Linked DNA regions of Schizosaccharomyces pombe. The protein of the gene in region 2 purifies or fractionates together with the protein of the main gene of each other region. This does not show direct contact. Each region holds a gene or a part of one and is shown on either strand. Other genes may lie near its edges. The genes, in order: rim1, exo5 and ssb2.

What was found.
Region 1: the proteins of exo5 (region 2) and rim1 purify together in Schizosaccharomyces pombe (co-purification; one study listed by BioGRID). This does not show direct contact.
Region 3: the proteins of exo5 (region 2) and ssb2 purify together in Schizosaccharomyces pombe (co-purification; one study listed by BioGRID). This does not show direct contact.

What each region holds. Positions count from the first base shown.
Region 1 is NC_003424.3:3,926,578-3,930,974, forward strand, and holds rim1 (single-strand DNA-binding protein Rim1), read right to left. Parts: upstream 1,801-4,397; 5' UTR 1,741-1,800; coding exon 1,392-1,740; intron 1,308-1,391; coding exon 1,204-1,307; 3' UTR 874-1,203; downstream 1-873. Other genes in the region: DNA-directed RNA polymerase I complex subunit Rpa49, read right to left, coding at 1-683; SPOM_SPAC2F3.05C (xylose and arabinose reductase), read right to left, coding at 2,232-3,059. UniProt on the Schizosaccharomyces pombe protein: This protein binds preferentially and cooperatively to ss-DNA. Involved in mitochondrial DNA replication.
Region 2 is NC_003423.3:2,769,988-2,775,284, forward strand, and holds exo5 (single-strand DNA-specific 5'-3' exodeoxyribonuclease Exo5), read left to right. Parts: upstream 1-2,865; 5' UTR 2,866-2,896; coding exon 2,897-3,059; exon of another isoform or gene 3,060-3,114; coding exon 3,115-3,179; exon of another isoform or gene 3,180-3,329; coding exon 3,330-4,106; intron 4,107-4,235; coding exon 4,236-4,460; downstream 4,461-5,297. Other genes in the region: INCENP-like protein Pic1, read left to right, coding at 1-2,383; SPOM_SPBC685.03 (uncharacterized protein), read left to right, coding at 4,710-5,297.
Region 3 is NC_003421.2:1,537,558-1,544,962, forward strand, and holds ssb2 (single-stranded DNA-binding protein Ssb2), read right to left. Parts: upstream 4,536-7,405; 5' UTR 4,358-4,535; coding exon 4,232-4,357; exon of another isoform or gene 4,105-4,231; coding exon 3,391-4,104; 3' UTR 2,986-3,390; coding exon of another isoform or gene 973-2,985; 3' UTR 833-972; downstream 1-832. Other genes in the region: SNARE-binding protein Sec1, read left to right, coding at 650-677, 716-756, 973-2,985; G-protein-coupled receptor Git3, read right to left, coding at 5,624-7,024. UniProt on the Schizosaccharomyces pombe protein: Binds to single-stranded sequences.

The DNA.
Region 1 (4,397 bases), on a different chromosome or scaffold from region 2:
TCTTTGGGAATAATGTCCTCCAATTTGTATGCATCTTCAATGGATTCAGCACCGACATTGACAGGAGGAATAGGGCGATCTTGCGCTTGAGCAGCAGCGATATCTTCTTGCGTTGGAAGTGCTTCAGTAGCTTTTTGAACATTACTAACCAATTGATCCTTGACATCTCCCAAAGTTTCAGCTTTGACACGATTGGCGGACTCTTCCATAATAGCTTTTTGACTTTTTCTTGTACCAAATGCCAAACCCAAGTTGGCACGCTGTTCCATAACAGTACCGCTTACAGTTCCATGCTTCTTTTTCAAAAATTTGTCCTTCTCCTGAAGTGCCAAAATATTTCTTTCAAAAGTATTAAGATACTTTGCTGGAACAATCTTTTTTACACGACCAGTTTTATCAGCAACAGCTAAACAGTAATTTGCCTCAACCGTAGCCGTTGATTGATTTTTAGCCTCAAATTGAACACGCTCTGTCCTTCCAATTAACGACGCATCTCTGTTGCTCTGATTGCTCTTTTTGAGAAGCTGGAACCGGGTATTTTCGGGTGGATAAAATCCGGAAATTGTCGTGACAAGTGGTGGTAAACTCGATTCACTCAAAGGCAATATCTTAACGGATTTTTCATCACCGGAATGGGAATCTCTATATTTCCGCTTCTTGCCCTTTAACTCGTCACCTGCCATTCCAATAGTGGATGCTGTTGGTAAAAATGCTAGCGCTTAAAGAGCTTTGCTTGTTTGACGAAGTGTAGTGTACAGTCACAGAGGCTGCGAAATCTAACTTAACGAAGTTTGAGGATCAGTCATTAAATGAAAAGAATTAAAGAAACTGAATATTACAAATCGTAGAGTACACTTTAAAATAAAAAAAAATGATTATTAATTTACTGTAAAGGACTAACAAATTTGTCACTTTGAAAAAGAAGGAGTAAAGGTGACTAAGTAATTCCTAGAACGCAATGAAAACATTACAGCAGAGACATTATTGTCTATAAAAACAAATCAGAAGAGCCATGGGTAGATTATTTCCAGCGGAATAATGAAATAAACATCAAATGAAAAATACATAGCAATACCAAGTATGTGCATAATGCAGAGAAAATGAATTAGGAGACTTTTTAAACTCAATAATCCCTAGAAAAATACCACCCAAATATATTAACGGTCTAAAGTGCAGAAAATTTTTAAACTAGAAACACGAATTTTAGAAGCTGTTAATCATAGGATCTGCGTCTAATTCAGGATGAGTCTCTTCTCCGGATTCATCGCCATTTTTGTTACGAGGATAAAATAAAACGTCTGCAGATACTAATAAGAGAGGTTAGTAAATACTATATTCTGTTTTCAAATTTTGCTTCAGGCTTCAACTTGGACCATTGCAATGTTGCGTACCATGTCGCAGGCTCATTTTCGCTTGAGATCCTTCATTTCCAGCTGGGACGGAACGCCAAACAGCATCGGCCTCCACATAAACACGCGTTCCCTTCCTTAAAATAGTTTGAAGTCTGTCGAAATTGTAACTATCGAAAACATAAACCGAGTGAAAGGTAGGGGCTACGTCTTTTCCATTATTGGAAGCTACAGTATAACGCATATATTCGTTTCCTTTTTGAGACTGCAAACGCTCAACGTCTTTTGTTAAATTGCCAGTCAATGTCAAACGTTGAATATCTCTATAACGAACAGTCGATGAAGAAAACAGTCGTTTGGAAAATGCTCTGCTGGATTTTAAGAATAGCATGTTTTTAGTACCTTGAGCTCACAGGAAAGCAATTAATGGAGTCTTATTGTGTGGTGTTGTGGATGAGTGAAGTGCGCATACGTCGCATATACGAAGCGAAAAGTACTTGGAGAAGTGTGTGAATTGATAAAACCAAAGTTAGGGTAGAATTTGCTTTTAATTAGCTACATAGTAAAGAGTCTGAATATATTTCTACCCAAAATGAGCCATTTCCATGAGGTACTTTAGGTTTCTAATAAGTTTACGATACATTATGCTAGCATTTACAAATCAATGGAAGTAATACGAATTTTCTAATCTATGATCGTATATGATAAAAGTAATATCGGATTCATACTAATTCATACTAACAGTCATTGGATGCATGTTTGGTATATAAGCTGACATAAATTGAGTTTCGTAAATTCTATCATACTAGCATATCTAGGGATAGCAGAGGAAATAAATAATAAAATGCATTCTCTGCTCTTACAAGACGATCATTTAACATATTATAAAGGGGAAACGCATGGGTTCCAATCCGAATGATAATCCTCATCCAAGTTGTAGAGCTTCTCCATATCCTCTTTAGATATTTCGAAATCGAAAACGTCGCCATTCTCTTTGATCCTCCTGGGAGTAGAACTCTTGGGAAGTACAATGAATCCACGCTGTAGACAGTATCTAATCATGATTTGAGCCTCAGACTTGTTATACTTGCTAGCAATGGCGAGAAGTTGCTTGTTGCCAAACTTTTCACCATGAACAAGAGGAGCGTAGGCAGCAAGTTGGATACCCTTGGATTCACAGTAATCGACGACTTTTTGTTGGGAGCAAAAAGGGTGAAGTTCGATTTGATTGACACATGGTATAATCTTTGGATGGCTGTCCAACAATTCCTGGATGTGATGAGGACCAAAGTTGGAAACGCCGATAGCACGAAGTTTTCCCTCTTCAACACCTTTCTCCAACGCCTTCCATGATTCAATACGATCACCATAGGGAGAGTGAAGAAGAAACAGATCAATATAGCCAAGGCCACATGCCTTAACACTGGCATCAATACTGCTCAAAGTAGATTTGTACCCACTTAAATCATTAAGCTTGCTAGTGAACCAAATATCCTCTCGTTTCGTACCAGTCTCTTCCATGAACTTAAGGATGGCTCTTCCACAGTCAGCCTCGTTGTGATACATCTGAGCCGAATCGATGTGTCGATATCCGCATTGAAGGGCAGCATACACCGAATCGAAGCATTTTGTACGATTCACCATGTAAGAACCGTAAGCAAATTGAGGGCACTTAAGTCCATTGTTTAACTTAACAAATGATCCCAACATAATGTATGAACAAAAAAATAAAATTAAATTAAAAGAAAAAAGTCAAAAATTAATGAACGAGGAAATTGATAATTATTCAATTAAGCAATCAACGAGATTCAGCAAAATTGAATATAACCAAGCTGTTTTTCAATGCTATTGAGTATTTTTGAAATATTCAATATTTTCAACTACCAAAGAAAAGAACGTTATAAATTCTTTTCACTAAAATGGTATTGCTAACCCGACATGCGAACAACACAGTACTATTTATACCATGAAAAACTTCTGATATAACATTAATGAGTGGTAATGATAAGCAACATCCCGAAGCACCATCACGTTTTTACCTTACGTACAGCGACATGTAAAGAATGATGTTAACCCAGCTTTTCGTCACAAAAGTTCGTTAAGCTTCGAATTCGTACTAATCGATCGATGGAATTCAGCAATGTTCGTTCGAGAATGAAATGAATAAAATGCTATGTATGAGATCAATCGAAGCTTGTGACAAATGCTGAATCGCGAATATAGCGGTTTTTTGAGAAATTTGTGATTGAGCGGGTTTTATAGTTTTTAAGCGGATTTTTATGCGAGAGCAAAAGACTGAACTCCAATAGTAATTATTGATAAAAATGCATTTAATGAACAATGCGTTTGTACTTGCTGAGTATTAGCTTAATTGACATCAAGGTGTGGTAGACTTATAATCAACAAGAGAAAACGCTCTCAAGTTTTATTATACATTTTATTTATCTTACCTTTAAACATTATTCGTGTCTTTTAAACCGACGTAAATGTATGATTAAAATAGTATGGAATGCGCTACTTTGAAATGGACTGCTCTACCAGACTATTGCCGCTCCATTCCATATGTGAAACATAGGGAAAAGTTTTAAACTACAATGATTAGTTTTCGTTGTTTGATTTTTTTACGTAGACTGCATGAACGTGAATTCAATTCAATAAATAATATTAAGTAAAAGAATTTTCGCATCAGGAAGTAAGTGATGAAAAACGATTGTACATGCAACAGAACCCATTATGCAGGAAATCAACCTTTTTTGTTTGAATGTGCAGCCTCAATTGAAAGATAATCATCGGGTGTTTTTGCTTTCCTCAATATCCTTAGGCGAAAGGGGAAATGCAAGTTAAAACCTTCCCACTGCACAGATGGCCGAGAAATAAAAGGATTCAGATGATGATTCTTTGATAAATGCTGTTCTTCTTGAATATTTTTTGTGTTTTCTTACAAAAGTCATTGAACCGCAAACATACATGAAACATACATACAAACGTCGATACTTGGGCGGAACTATTAAATAAAACCAAACCCAAAAGTACCAACCCTTCTGGGTT
Region 2 (5,297 bases):
ACCTGCATCATTACACAGTCGTGTGGAATCAACTAATTCATTTATAAATCAGTTAAATCGCCGGCGTACTAAAGACAACTTAACGAATAATCCTGAAATTTCATTAGATGAACCTATCAAGGCACTACCTTCAACTACTTCTGATGCTCCTTCTTCTTTGTTAAATACCAATGTGTCCTCTAGTCCTTCTAAATTTCGAAAATTCCTTTCATCAGTCATCCCCGCCAAGACAGATTTATCAGCCAAGGAATCGCTCACGTCGTCTACTAGGTTATCGACTTCTTACAAAACTCGTAAAAGAAGTTCAGGAGTCGCCTTCTCTTCTGAAACTGTTACTTCTTCTTCCAAGGAAAGAAAAAGGTCTGTCGAAAATGAAATGCTTAAACCTCATCCAACTATTTTTGAATCCCCTCCCGAAATTACTTCCTTCGATAAATCCAACGCAGTAGAAGCTGAGGCATTAACGGCCAAATTAAAATCCAATGAAGAGAGACTACCTGTATCTTCTCAACCTGGAAGTGATGCCAAAAGTCAAGAGTTTGACTTTTTTGAAGCCAAAATTCCCGATTCTATTGCTAAATTGAACGAGCTAACTGCCTCCAATGAAAACCACTATGAACTGAAAACTTATGATCGTGCCGAACGATTAAGGCAGAAAATACAAGAAGTAAGTTCTAATAAAAGATTAATTCCTTCGACTCCGCCCACGAAGAAACCGATTAATGCAGTTTTAGATGCTGCTAAAAACTCTGCAGCTAAGGATTTGCACCTTGCTAAAATGAAGCTGAATAATAAAAACGACGAGTCTTCCTTAAGCCCTGCAAAAAGTCATGCTGTAATCACTCAAGCGCCTAAGATCCCCCTGATAAGCACATTCACAAGGCTTTCAACCAGAAAGTCGTCAAATGATTTTAATTCTTCAAATTCTAGACCAAGCTCAAACGCTTTGAAATCGGATGCAAACGAAAATACGGACTCTTCTTTGCCGCCTTCCAAGAAGGAATTTATTGAAAAATCTCTGCACAAGTTATCTGAACCATTGCATGATGATTCTCGTCAAAATTCTGATCACAACTTTGCTCCGCATTCACGTCCGATTGCAATTCGTGTGGCCACAGCCTCTCAACGCGAACTTGAGCAAACTGAAAAGCGAAAAGCAAAAAATGGAGCAGCAAATGCTTCAAATATGGAAAGCCGCTCTTCTGAAAACGAAACTCATCGCTTCAAAAAGTTCTATGGTAAAGAACGAGAGTTATCAAACAACGAATTTCCAAGTCGTCAGACCAAAACTGTCACATCAGCCAATTCATCTAACATTAGGGATATGGAACATACTATTTCCGATAAACCTCGTTCTGAACCAGATGCTATACCATCAAGTAAAAGCATGCACTCAAATAAGCCATTTGAGGAAAAATCAGAAAAACCAACGACCAAAAGACTTGTTACTAACCCATCAAATGTGAATGCTTCATGGCATTCAAATATGTTAAAAAGACAAGAAGATTTACGAAAGAAGAAACCGTTAACCGACAACGGTGCAACTTCAAGGCATATGCTAAAATCTGGGTTAACACGCGTCACGTCGAAACCCACTCAAAGGTTTGCGAATGAGCTAGCTGAGGACATGTCATTGGCATTTCATTCAACTATTCCAAAAAAAATGGAGCCTGACTCAGTTACTTCTGTAACTCAGCCTTCTGTTGGTAGTTTGAGAAACAACTTCGATATAGGGACCACTAATAGTCAGAATGAAGATCGAAAAAAGAAGATAGCTGCACAAAAAAATAAGAATCCCGTACATGGTAATGTCGGTCTTACGAATCAACATGGATTCAAAACAATGCATCACAACGTCAACCCTTTTACTAAGCAGAATGGTATTATGAAAGGAAAGCTTCCATCTTCTAGTACTTCACAATCAAATAAACCTTTTATTGAAAAAGCTTCTATGCACGCTCCAGCTAAAGGTAGGAACTCGTCTATGCAGGAGCCCTCTTCTAAATCACCGTTACTGAAAACGCCTAAGTCGAATTATTTTCCTGGATATGGATCCCTATCGCCTAACACGTCTGTGGAATTACCAGAAATAAATAGCGATTATTCGGATGATTCAGATGATGAAGGTAATAAGAAAAAGGTAAATTTACCATCGTGGGCTGAATCACCTGAGTTACGAGAGCAATTAAAACGACAACAAAAGTGGGATCCAGACAAAATTTTCGGTATGATTAAACCTCTGCAAATGGATGAGTATTTCCGATCGAAGGATCGATCGAAGATTCGATTTCGACCAAGAAGCTCTTCTGCTGACTGGTCATCTCAAGATCGTTTGACCCAAGCAGAAATTGATAACTATAAGAAAAACATGGGTTTTTTATAGAGTTCTGGATTTTTGAAATGAATTTTGTATATTAAAGAACTGGGAAATTAATAGAGAAATACTTTAATTTATCTTATGAAACAATTTGCATAGAGTTAGATGACAAAATTAAATTAGATTAAAGGTTTTTGAATCTACTAATAACAATTATAATGAAATAGACCTCCATCTTAGACATTGAAGCATCGCTGATAATTAGTTTTTGTGCCGCAATAACATTAGCCATTAACAAACGTAGTTTGACATTGCCAGAAACTTAATCTACTTGTTCAAAGTTTTAATTTCTTTGAACGAAAAGAAACTGTGAAAGTACTTCTATCATCAATAGTTTAGCACAGTTTACATTGCTAGTTTTGGTTACACTAGACATTTACGTTCCACCATTTTAATAAAACTAGTGTAAAGCTTTTTTACCGTCTGGTTGGTTACTTTAAAAAAAAGAATTATTCTATTAAATGTGTGAACTAACGTAACCCGCACCTGAATAAATCATCCTAACGAAACATTAAGTCTATGGAAGAATATGAAGATTTTGAGATGGAAGATTTGAGCGAATTAGTCTCTTATATGGACTATCTTGAAACACAAAGATTGACTATTAGCCAATTGGATTATTCTTTGAGCATTCCACCACAATTGCTCGTAAGCAGGGAAATTTCTAAACTAGAGGACGAAGGTACGATATATTTCACTCAAGTCATGAACCAGACAAGCTAATAATCAACGTTCAGTTTGTGAAATGTTAAAAGAAAGTTCATTATTCCAACTGTTTCGAAAACACAAAGGTTATTTAAATGTAAGGTCTTTCTGAAGTTTGTGAATGATTTTTTATGGTTTTGTCAACAGATTTATAATAGCGGATTGAGACAATGCTATTCTTAGCATAATCATTTACAAGCATTAATCAATTGCATGTTTTTCATTTACTGACAGAACCTATTATTAGGTTACTGACCTTGTTTTACCTTTGTGGTGTGAAGTGCAACATGAATACTATTTATTGAGAAGAATTAAAAAAAAGACCCCGAAGATGGAACGCGGAATTAAGCTGCATCAAATACTTGAGTATGAAACCTCCCCTCCATCAGAACGTCGAGTGCTTGATCGGACATCCAAGGAGGAACCATGGGCATTACGATTATTAAGGCAATTAGAAGGTATTATGTTATTACAAAAAAATGGAATTACAAGAGAGTTTCCAATCTGGGGATATTACAAAGAGTCCTCAATTTTTGGCATTATTGATGAAATAAGTCTAAACAACCCTTCAAAAAGCAATTTTAATAGTGACATCCGCAATTACTTCAATTTCAAAATGTACGATTTAAGTTTTGTTGACAATAAAACTCGGTTTTCTTCCAGAAAGCCTGGAGCTTCACAAATTCTTAGTTCCAAAGTACAACTAATGTATTACGTTCATCTCTTTTTAAATTATTTCCCCTCTCTAGGAGAAAAACAACAAAGCATTTTTAGGGATATTTCTCCTACATATTCTAACAGACTTCATTCTCAAAGTCACTGGTGGAACATGTTTTTGAGCCAACTATCGCTGGACGGCACCAAGGACTTGGGGCCGAAATTTTTAGAGCAATCAATTCTTTCAATTCCCGATATTCCTGAAGATGTCTTTGCAGGTCATAACTCGCTAAATGGACTTTATGCACTCGTATTTGCTTCAGCTAAGAAGTTGCATTTACGTCTTACTGATGACAATCTTACCATTGTAAGTGACACAACCAATTAACTCGAAAATTATTTCGTTATCATTACAACTTTTAATTTTTTTTACGATGATTAGAATCCTTTTCGTAATATGATTGTCTGAACTATCGTTACTAACATCTTTTACTAGGCATACAGGAATGACAAAACAGGAGAAGTGGTATACAAAGACAAATTCTCTTTTAGCAATAAATTATTAGAAGCTTCCTATACTAAGGCTTATCAATTTTGGCACAATTTAAGGGAGCCTGAAGGCGTTCCTGCAGAGGAAGTCTACAAATGCCGAAGTTGTGAATTTCAGAAAGAATGTTGGTGGCTCAAAAAGAAACAGTATTACCCTCTTTCAAGTCCGTAATTGGGAATAATGACAGTTGAAAAGATTCCCAGAACATAGTTGGTCATTGGCATCCTATATGTTTAGCAACGATTTTCTTCCATCATATTTTGATAGGGCTGCTAGGTTGTTGAAGTCATCAACTTTTAATTTTTTTATCAATCTTTAAGAGGCAATTGAAATCATTTCTATGTAATCGATATAATTTGTGTTAAATCTCTATTTAAAAGAGCATGGTTTTTTTATTGCATTTTCTAGATCTCGGTGACGATGCAATTCTTTGGTAGCTTGTTTGTTTCTCTCCTAGGTGCCGCGGGTCTAGCTAATGCTCTACCATCACCAGGCATTCCTAGTAATGACAAAGATTTGGCCATTTATCCTCCTGTCGATGCCAATAATACTACTTCTCAAGATGTCGTTATAGACGTAGTTCTATTTAACGGTACTGAATGGATTTCCTCTCGCGAGAGATTTTCACTTGTTTCACCAGGATGGGCAAGCATTTACGGTCCATCGGGTCAGAGTTCTGTTGGGTCAGTACTTTATAGCCCTATTTTGGATTACATTGACAATGCGCAACTGTTAGTTTTGGACGACGTGTCTTTCGGTGTCTTCTCTTCCCTGGCCAATTCTGTTACAGGTTATGCTTCCAACTATACTCAGTCATCCAGCAATTCCACTTCCACAATGAATTCAACCGGAAGTGTTTCTGGAGGATCAGTCTATCCAACCAATTCAACCACTAATAGTTCCATTTCATGGAATAGTTCAACTTCTGCTGCTACAAACACAAGCTCAAGCAGTAGCTCAAGTAGCCAGAGTTCAGTCGTTAGCGTAAATTCGGAAATATTTTCTTAT
Region 3 (7,405 bases), on a different chromosome or scaffold from region 2:
TGTTTCTATGCAAATGTATGACACTTTATGGTTCTACTGTATATAATCCAACTAGGACAAAATGGGATTTGCTTATTTTTTAGTTGGTGGACTAGCGGTATGGTAGAAGATGTATATCTAATCGTTATATACGCGTATTACTATGCCTAATTTCAATGCGATGGGTTGTATATATGAAGAATAATGGACATTCACTCCTTTACACCCTATTCACTTTGAAATTATTTACTTTTTTCGTACAGAATTCAATGCGAGGAGTAGGTCAGCAAATAGTAAATAAGCAGTTGCACTTTGCAGCTATGGAAGGGTGAAATGTGATAATAAGTTGTTGTTTTTTTACAATCCATATTAATGATTAAAACTACACTTGAAATCTTCATAATATTGTAAAATAATAGTTTATTTAAATCACTAGATATACTGAAATTTATTGTGCTACTACACCAAATCTTACCGAATAAATACCGAGGTGGATCATATTTACAGTAATCCGATCATTCTACCGTTTACATTCCACCAGCATTTCTGTACCGTATCCGAATTTCACGTACTCTTTTGACGTTGCTTGGTTTTAAGAGTAAGCATTGAAGTGTTGAAAGGTATAGTTTTTGCTATTCCGTTTAGGAATACGGGACATTGACGTTTTGAGATGACACTGCTGGAGCTCCAAAAAGAATGTATGGTTATTTGTGCTGGTGTATTACTAACAAATAAGTGTTTCTTAGCAAAATTAATTCAGTAGAATGTGCTACGAAGGTAAGAGATGGAACCCGTGAAACTTATAACGTGCACTGAAATGTTTACTGGGAATTTTGATTTGGATATTGTTTAAATGGAATTGAATTTGTGAATATGCAGCATATTATTTCCTCCGACATATTTTTTTTAAACTATCAAAATTGGCCTATTTCTAATTTGGAGCCGTTCAGTTTCACATCTTTGGCTTTTGGTTTGTGCCTAACAGATAAATAGTGGAAAGTTCTAATCGTGGATACCAAAACAGCGGACATTATTAACCATTTTATCACTATTCACAGCCTTTTAGAGGAGAAAATTGCCGCTGTCGAAATTTTGGAGAATCCGCGTACCCCCAATTCGTCATTCGAAGCGTTGTATATACTTCATTCAGAGGAAAAATTAGTTGATTGCATTCTGAAAGACGAAGAATATGATAAAAGGTATCCAGGAATACATATCGTATTCCTAGACATGGTGAAGGAGCCACTAATCAATAAATTACGAACGTCTAGGATTGCCTCAAAAATTCGTACAGTCCAAGTCGCCTATTTGGATTTCACTAGTCTTGAATCAAGATATTTTCAAGTACATGATTCCTTTTCCGGACTACGCCTTTACCATCCATCTAACGCTGCAATCATTCGTCAAGAGCTTTCCAAGGTTGCGCATGGAATTTTTTCAGTTTGCGTCAGCCTTGGCATCTCCCCCAACATTCGTTGTTATTATCCAAAAAATGCCCCACATGCATCCAAAACGATGTCCTTCATTTTAGCAAATCAACTAAGTGAAATTGTTGAAGAATACTGTTCTAAACACCCGGGATACCATGAAGCCGCCTCAAAATCTACTTGTCTAATTGTCGATCGATCATTAGACACTGCAGCTCCTTTCTTACACGAGTTTACGTATCAAGCTATGATTCATGATCTTTTACCTATTAAGAATGAACAATATCCTTATGAAATTTTGGGTCCTCAAGGTACTGAGAAACGTACTGGTAAATTGGATGATGATGATTTAGTTTACACGACCATTCGACATATGCACATGAGAGATGCTATTGAAAAGCTGATGAAAGATTTCAATCAATTTTGCATCGACAATACTCTGTTTCTTGATAAAGAACGTGCCACGTCCCTGAATGACATGCGTAGTATGTTGGCGGGTTTATCCGATTTTCAAGAGCTCAGAGATCAATATTCATTACATCTAACAATGGCTCAGGAATGCATGAATATTTTTGAAAAACAGCAATTAAACTTGATCGGTGCTATTGAACAAGACCTTTCTACTGGCAGCAACGTTGAAGGCAAAGTCCCCCGAAGTGTACTTTCTGAACTGCTACCCCTATTGGATGAAGGTAATGCAGAAGAGAGTACCAAAATTCGCCTTCTTCTTTTATACATTATATATCGTGATGGAATCATTTTGCAGGACCTATTTCGACTTTTCCGTCATAGCAATCTATCAACCTCTCGAGAACAAATATTTCAAAACCTAGAGCAGCTTGGAACAAGGGTGATTAAAAACTTGACTGATCAAAGCAGCAAGAGAAAAGAGGTTGCAAATTCTCTTCCCGCAGGTGAAGATGTTTATGAACTTTCAAGATATGTTCCCACTTTAAAGGTAGTCTTGGAAAATCTTATCCAAGATAAGTTGGATCCAGAGCTTTTTCCGTACGTCCGAAATACCACTCCCCAGACAGAAGTAAGTATGGAACAGACCTCTCTACGTAGTTCCCGACCATCTTGGACTCGATCTCGTTCAATGGCTTCCAAATTACCGCGAGAAAAAATGCTCGTTTTTGTTGCGGGAGGCACTACTTTCAGTGAATTACGAACCTGTTATGAACTTTCCGATAAATATAACAAAGACATTTATATTGGGAGTACAGTATGTTATTCTCCAAATGAATGGTTGGACTTTTTCTCAAAGTTCCAACAACCAAGAGAGGCATTAAAATTTCCTGAAGATAAACCCAGGCATATACCATGCTTAGAGGCTCGCCCTAGTCCTAATAGAATACAAGAACAGCCAAACATTGATGTACCTTCGACTAGATATGAAAATACATCATCTTCCGACGCTGTTTCAATTCATAAAGATGAAAAGAAAAGTAAAGGAAAGTCACATAAGCTAGGAAAGCTAATGATGAGCTCAAAGAAAGACAAAGACAAATCTAAAGAAAAAGTACCCACTTACGGAACCAGTGATAAAAAGAAAAAGAAGCGTTTTGGTGTTTTCTAGATTTAAGTGCCTTTTGCTTCATTGCACCATGTGAGAATGTATAATTACCAGTTTTAATACTGGCTTTTCTAAGCATTTCAAAAAATGGCCCTATAATCCCAATAAGCTAACTAGGTATTCAACTAGAATTTTGTTTTGAGTTAAAAATGTAATGACTATTCATATTATTAATGAAAGAGCGAGTTCAATCTCAAAAAAAGGAATTCCTTGCCCAAAAAACTAATATCTATGCAGTGAATCCCATTTTAGTCTGCTGTTATATAATTCAACGTGTTCATTTGGGGTATAATTATGGTTCTTGTTCCCAAACAATCAAATGAATTTAATGAACAGTTAATGGACGAAGCAAAAGCTTTAACCTCGAAACGCAATACCAAAATCATTATTTCAAAATCATAAAAAGCGTTATTGGTCTTGTAAAACACTTTTAAAATGATTTTCATCAATTGTTGTGTAGATGATTCCTTCTTGTTGAAGAAAATCAGTAACCGCCGTAAGGTCTATACCGGGACCCACGCTTTGAGCAAGTTGTCTAACGTGAACACCTTCATTCGTCTCTGGTGCACTATGGATAGCTTGCATAACGGTCATTTGTGCGGGGGTTAGTGAATATTCAGCTAGTTTTTGTTCCAGAGAGTTGGCAGCACCATTTGAAGAAATGTTATTGTAGCCTAGTGCGTTGGAAGTTCCGTAGCCTGGAGCGTTGGCTCCGTTCACAGCATTTGCTTTCTGAGTGAAATGTAGGTGTACAGCAATTGCTTCAAGGAAATGAAAATGGACTTCATTATGGTCTTTAATTGTACGGATGTATTGAGAAGCAATGTAAATTTTTCCAGAAAATATTTTGATGTTTCCATACACACGAACATAGGTGTCTGTAGCAAGTTCAGATAGCGCATCAATGTGTTCCCAATGCCTTACTTCAATCATTCCTGTTCCATCTTCTATTTGATATGTTGTGTTTGTAGTTTGAGCGTGAATGTTCCGTAAAACTCCTACAAAAGTAACCTGTCCGACTTCAACGCCATCTATCTTGAATTCTGCATCAGCGTGAACTTGAGAGGCATTGAGAATTTGCTTAATGGTAACAGGACGTAATTTATTTCCAGCTCCTTGTTGCTAAACATTGGAAAAATTAGTATTAGATATTTTTATGAATAAGGTCAGTGCTAGTACAAAACTATCAACCAAAAAGTATCACCTTGCGGTTATTCAAACAATAGTTTTAGTATTTTATCCCACTTACTCTATCGACGCTGGGCTGGCTCGATTGATCATATTCATTAAATCCAGCGCCTCCTCCCATTCCTGGAGAAAAAGCGCTATTGAAGTCGGGACCATAGCCCGGCTTGCCAAAAGCATCATAAGCCATGAGCACGTATTATCTCAAATTATGAAAGTTTGTTAGGGTGAATTAAAGAGCGATGAAAAAGCAAATCAACCACTTAAAAATATATCTGCGATCTTTTAGAGAGTGATTTTTAAATAATTGAATATAAAGTTACAGCTGATTCCACGAGTAGTCTACTTTTCAGTGGTGTGTTTAGTACAAGTTACGAGTCGCGTTTCGCGGTGGTGTACCGAAAAGAATAAAATCAAGCAAGCGTGCTTATATACTACAATGTAATAAAATTAACTGTTTTATTTAGAAAACCATCTTACATCTACTTTTTTTCTCTATAACCGTATAGTTTTCAATACAAAAACCTACTAATCACGGGATGCTCAATTGACTTAAAACGCTTAAAGCAATCAGATACTGTGCTACCATTCTGCTTTACCAAATGTAAAGAAAAACTAAAAAATACATTATTAAATTTGTAAACATTAACACATTCATATGTAACAAGAAGGCATGGAACAAATGTCCGACGCAATTTTACAAATCGTATAGGAAGAAAAGCGATTTATCCACAACAAAAGAATAGCTAATGGTGAATGACTATTCGCACATCGACATATACAAAATAAGAACATAAACGTATTGCTATGCACAATCCATCCATTTTATGTATTGAGGAAATATAGTATTGGGGACATAAATTTTGAATATAGTTTTGAAGACAGATGCTTAATGCAAGCAGTAAAATGTAAGAGCATCTGAAAAATGAAAACGAGTGAATGATAGTTGGTAAAGCTGAACATAAACATTCTATATAAGGAAGAATTGTTTAGGCGACTAAGCGTTCCAAAAATGAATTCCCCGAGATGAATAGAAAACTGTCATAGACACAGTACATATATATACATCGATAATTGTGAGCGGCCTTATCAATTTGAAGCAGCCAAGCTTTAAACCATCTTCCAATCCGAGCCTTTTGCCAAGTTAAGTAGTGCCAAAATTTAATACTTCGAAATAAATTCTGGGAAGCGAAAATTAAAGTATGACATATATTAGAGGTGATGCAAAAATGGGAGATATTAAAATATTAGTTGGTTTACCACAGTTGTTTCCATTCACATTCCATTGTCATTCACTGGATGGCTTTAACAAAAAAGGAAGACATATGAATGCAAAGGCTATGAGAAAATTTTAAGAAGTAAAGTGATAATAAAATCGTCATAAAAAGAAATTATAATACAAGAAGAGGAGCTTGTGAGACTTCACCATAAACAAAAATAAAAAGAACAAATCCTTCTATTTTTCCTCACCAAATTTACCCCGCCACCATTTTAAAGTCAACTCCTTTATTTGATCCCAATAACTTTTACTCGAATCTCTTTCCTTCAAATACGTGTAGCCACGATAACAAATCCAAATAAAATCTGACAAGGCAATAAAGATGGCAACGAAGTTGTCTGCAAAGACTGCAACAAATGCGAATCGTTTGCATGAACCAGAGCAGTGCAACGGTTGGGCAAGTATAACGATAATCTGTATTTGAGGGAGAATCCACATAAAGATAAAAATTGCAGGATAAGCAAACAAAAACTTAGACTGACTTAAAATGCGTTTCCGTTGTTTAAGGAGGGGATCATCTTGCATATCATTTCCATATGCAGCCAAAACACTAGAAGCACCATCTTCGTCACTAGTCAATGGACTACTGAGTTTAAAACTCGTGTGATCTTCAAGGCCATTTGTGCGATTTGGACTATCCCTAAAATCCTGTTCGAAATGTATTCCTGATTGATTTAGATTAGCAGGAGTAGACTGCGAACCAGGAGGCAAATTAGGATGCACAGAGGATAGTAACGGTCTCGAATAGGGAGAAGGTTGAGACTGCGAGGAGTAAATGGATTGAGAATTAGATGGAGTATATGTTAAAGTACTGTTGGTGTCGGGAAATGGTGGAAGAGCTACTTGATCCGGAGCGGTAGGATACGAATCAATGACATTTAAAGTATCAAACACATTTGTTTGTTGATGTGAGTATTTCTTGAAACGTTTGATTTTCCTTCTGATCGAGATGAACATGCAAGTTTGTAAAGCAATAATTGCAATACTTAGCGCATAATCAAATGACCAATTCAAACCAAACATGAATCGTACAGGGGTATAGGGAAGGTAGCATCGGGTTTGTAAATTGACAAATGTATTTCTTTTATTGGTAAAAGCAAGTCCGCCAATAGTTAAAGGAATTACAAATGACAGTGTAAACACAGTATGCCGAAAACGATATAGACCCCTTCGTTCAGTATCAACATGGGGGAAAAGCACCAAAAGAGCATTATGCAATATGTTGATAAAAATCCAATAATCAGTCATCCGAACAAGTACCAAAAGAAAAAATCCAATTGTAAAGCATCGATGTTTTGGAGCCCAAAAAAAAGGATCGCTTAATGCTAGACATGGATGAATCATTTGCACAATGGAACGAATAAACAATACAGAAAAAAGAGCGATATGAAATTGTTCACGTATTGTTCGCCGACGAGACCATCGCCAGAAGATAGCAATTAAGCTGAAAACGATAGATATGGCTGAAGCTATAATGACCATGATTCTCAGGTTAGCTAACTCTCTGCGAGAGACAATGATGATGGAACTCGTACTCGTGGCATCGGAAACATTAAACGTATAATCTAAATGAAGCATGAGCAACCTTGTTCCTTATTACAAAGTTTAAACTTCTCTTCAAGAAGACAGGAAAAAAAAAGAGAGGAGAGGAGGTGAGAAAGTAAAAAACAAGAAAAGCAATATCAGAACGAAAAACAAAAAAAAAGACAAAAAAAAAAGGAATACTCCAAAGACAAATCTATGACTTCAGAAATGTTCAAATAGACAAACAAGAAAGCAAAACAGAATTTTCAGCCACTTGGGTAATCAGTCCTATTACCCTTAAGAAGTGCAAAAAATAGTATATCTCGTATATCCAATTACCCAAGATTGCATATCTGACCCTCGATTTTCTATAAATTGCTTCGTTCGCGAATATAAACAGTCTCTTCAAGTTGATGTAAAAAACTTAGCAAACTG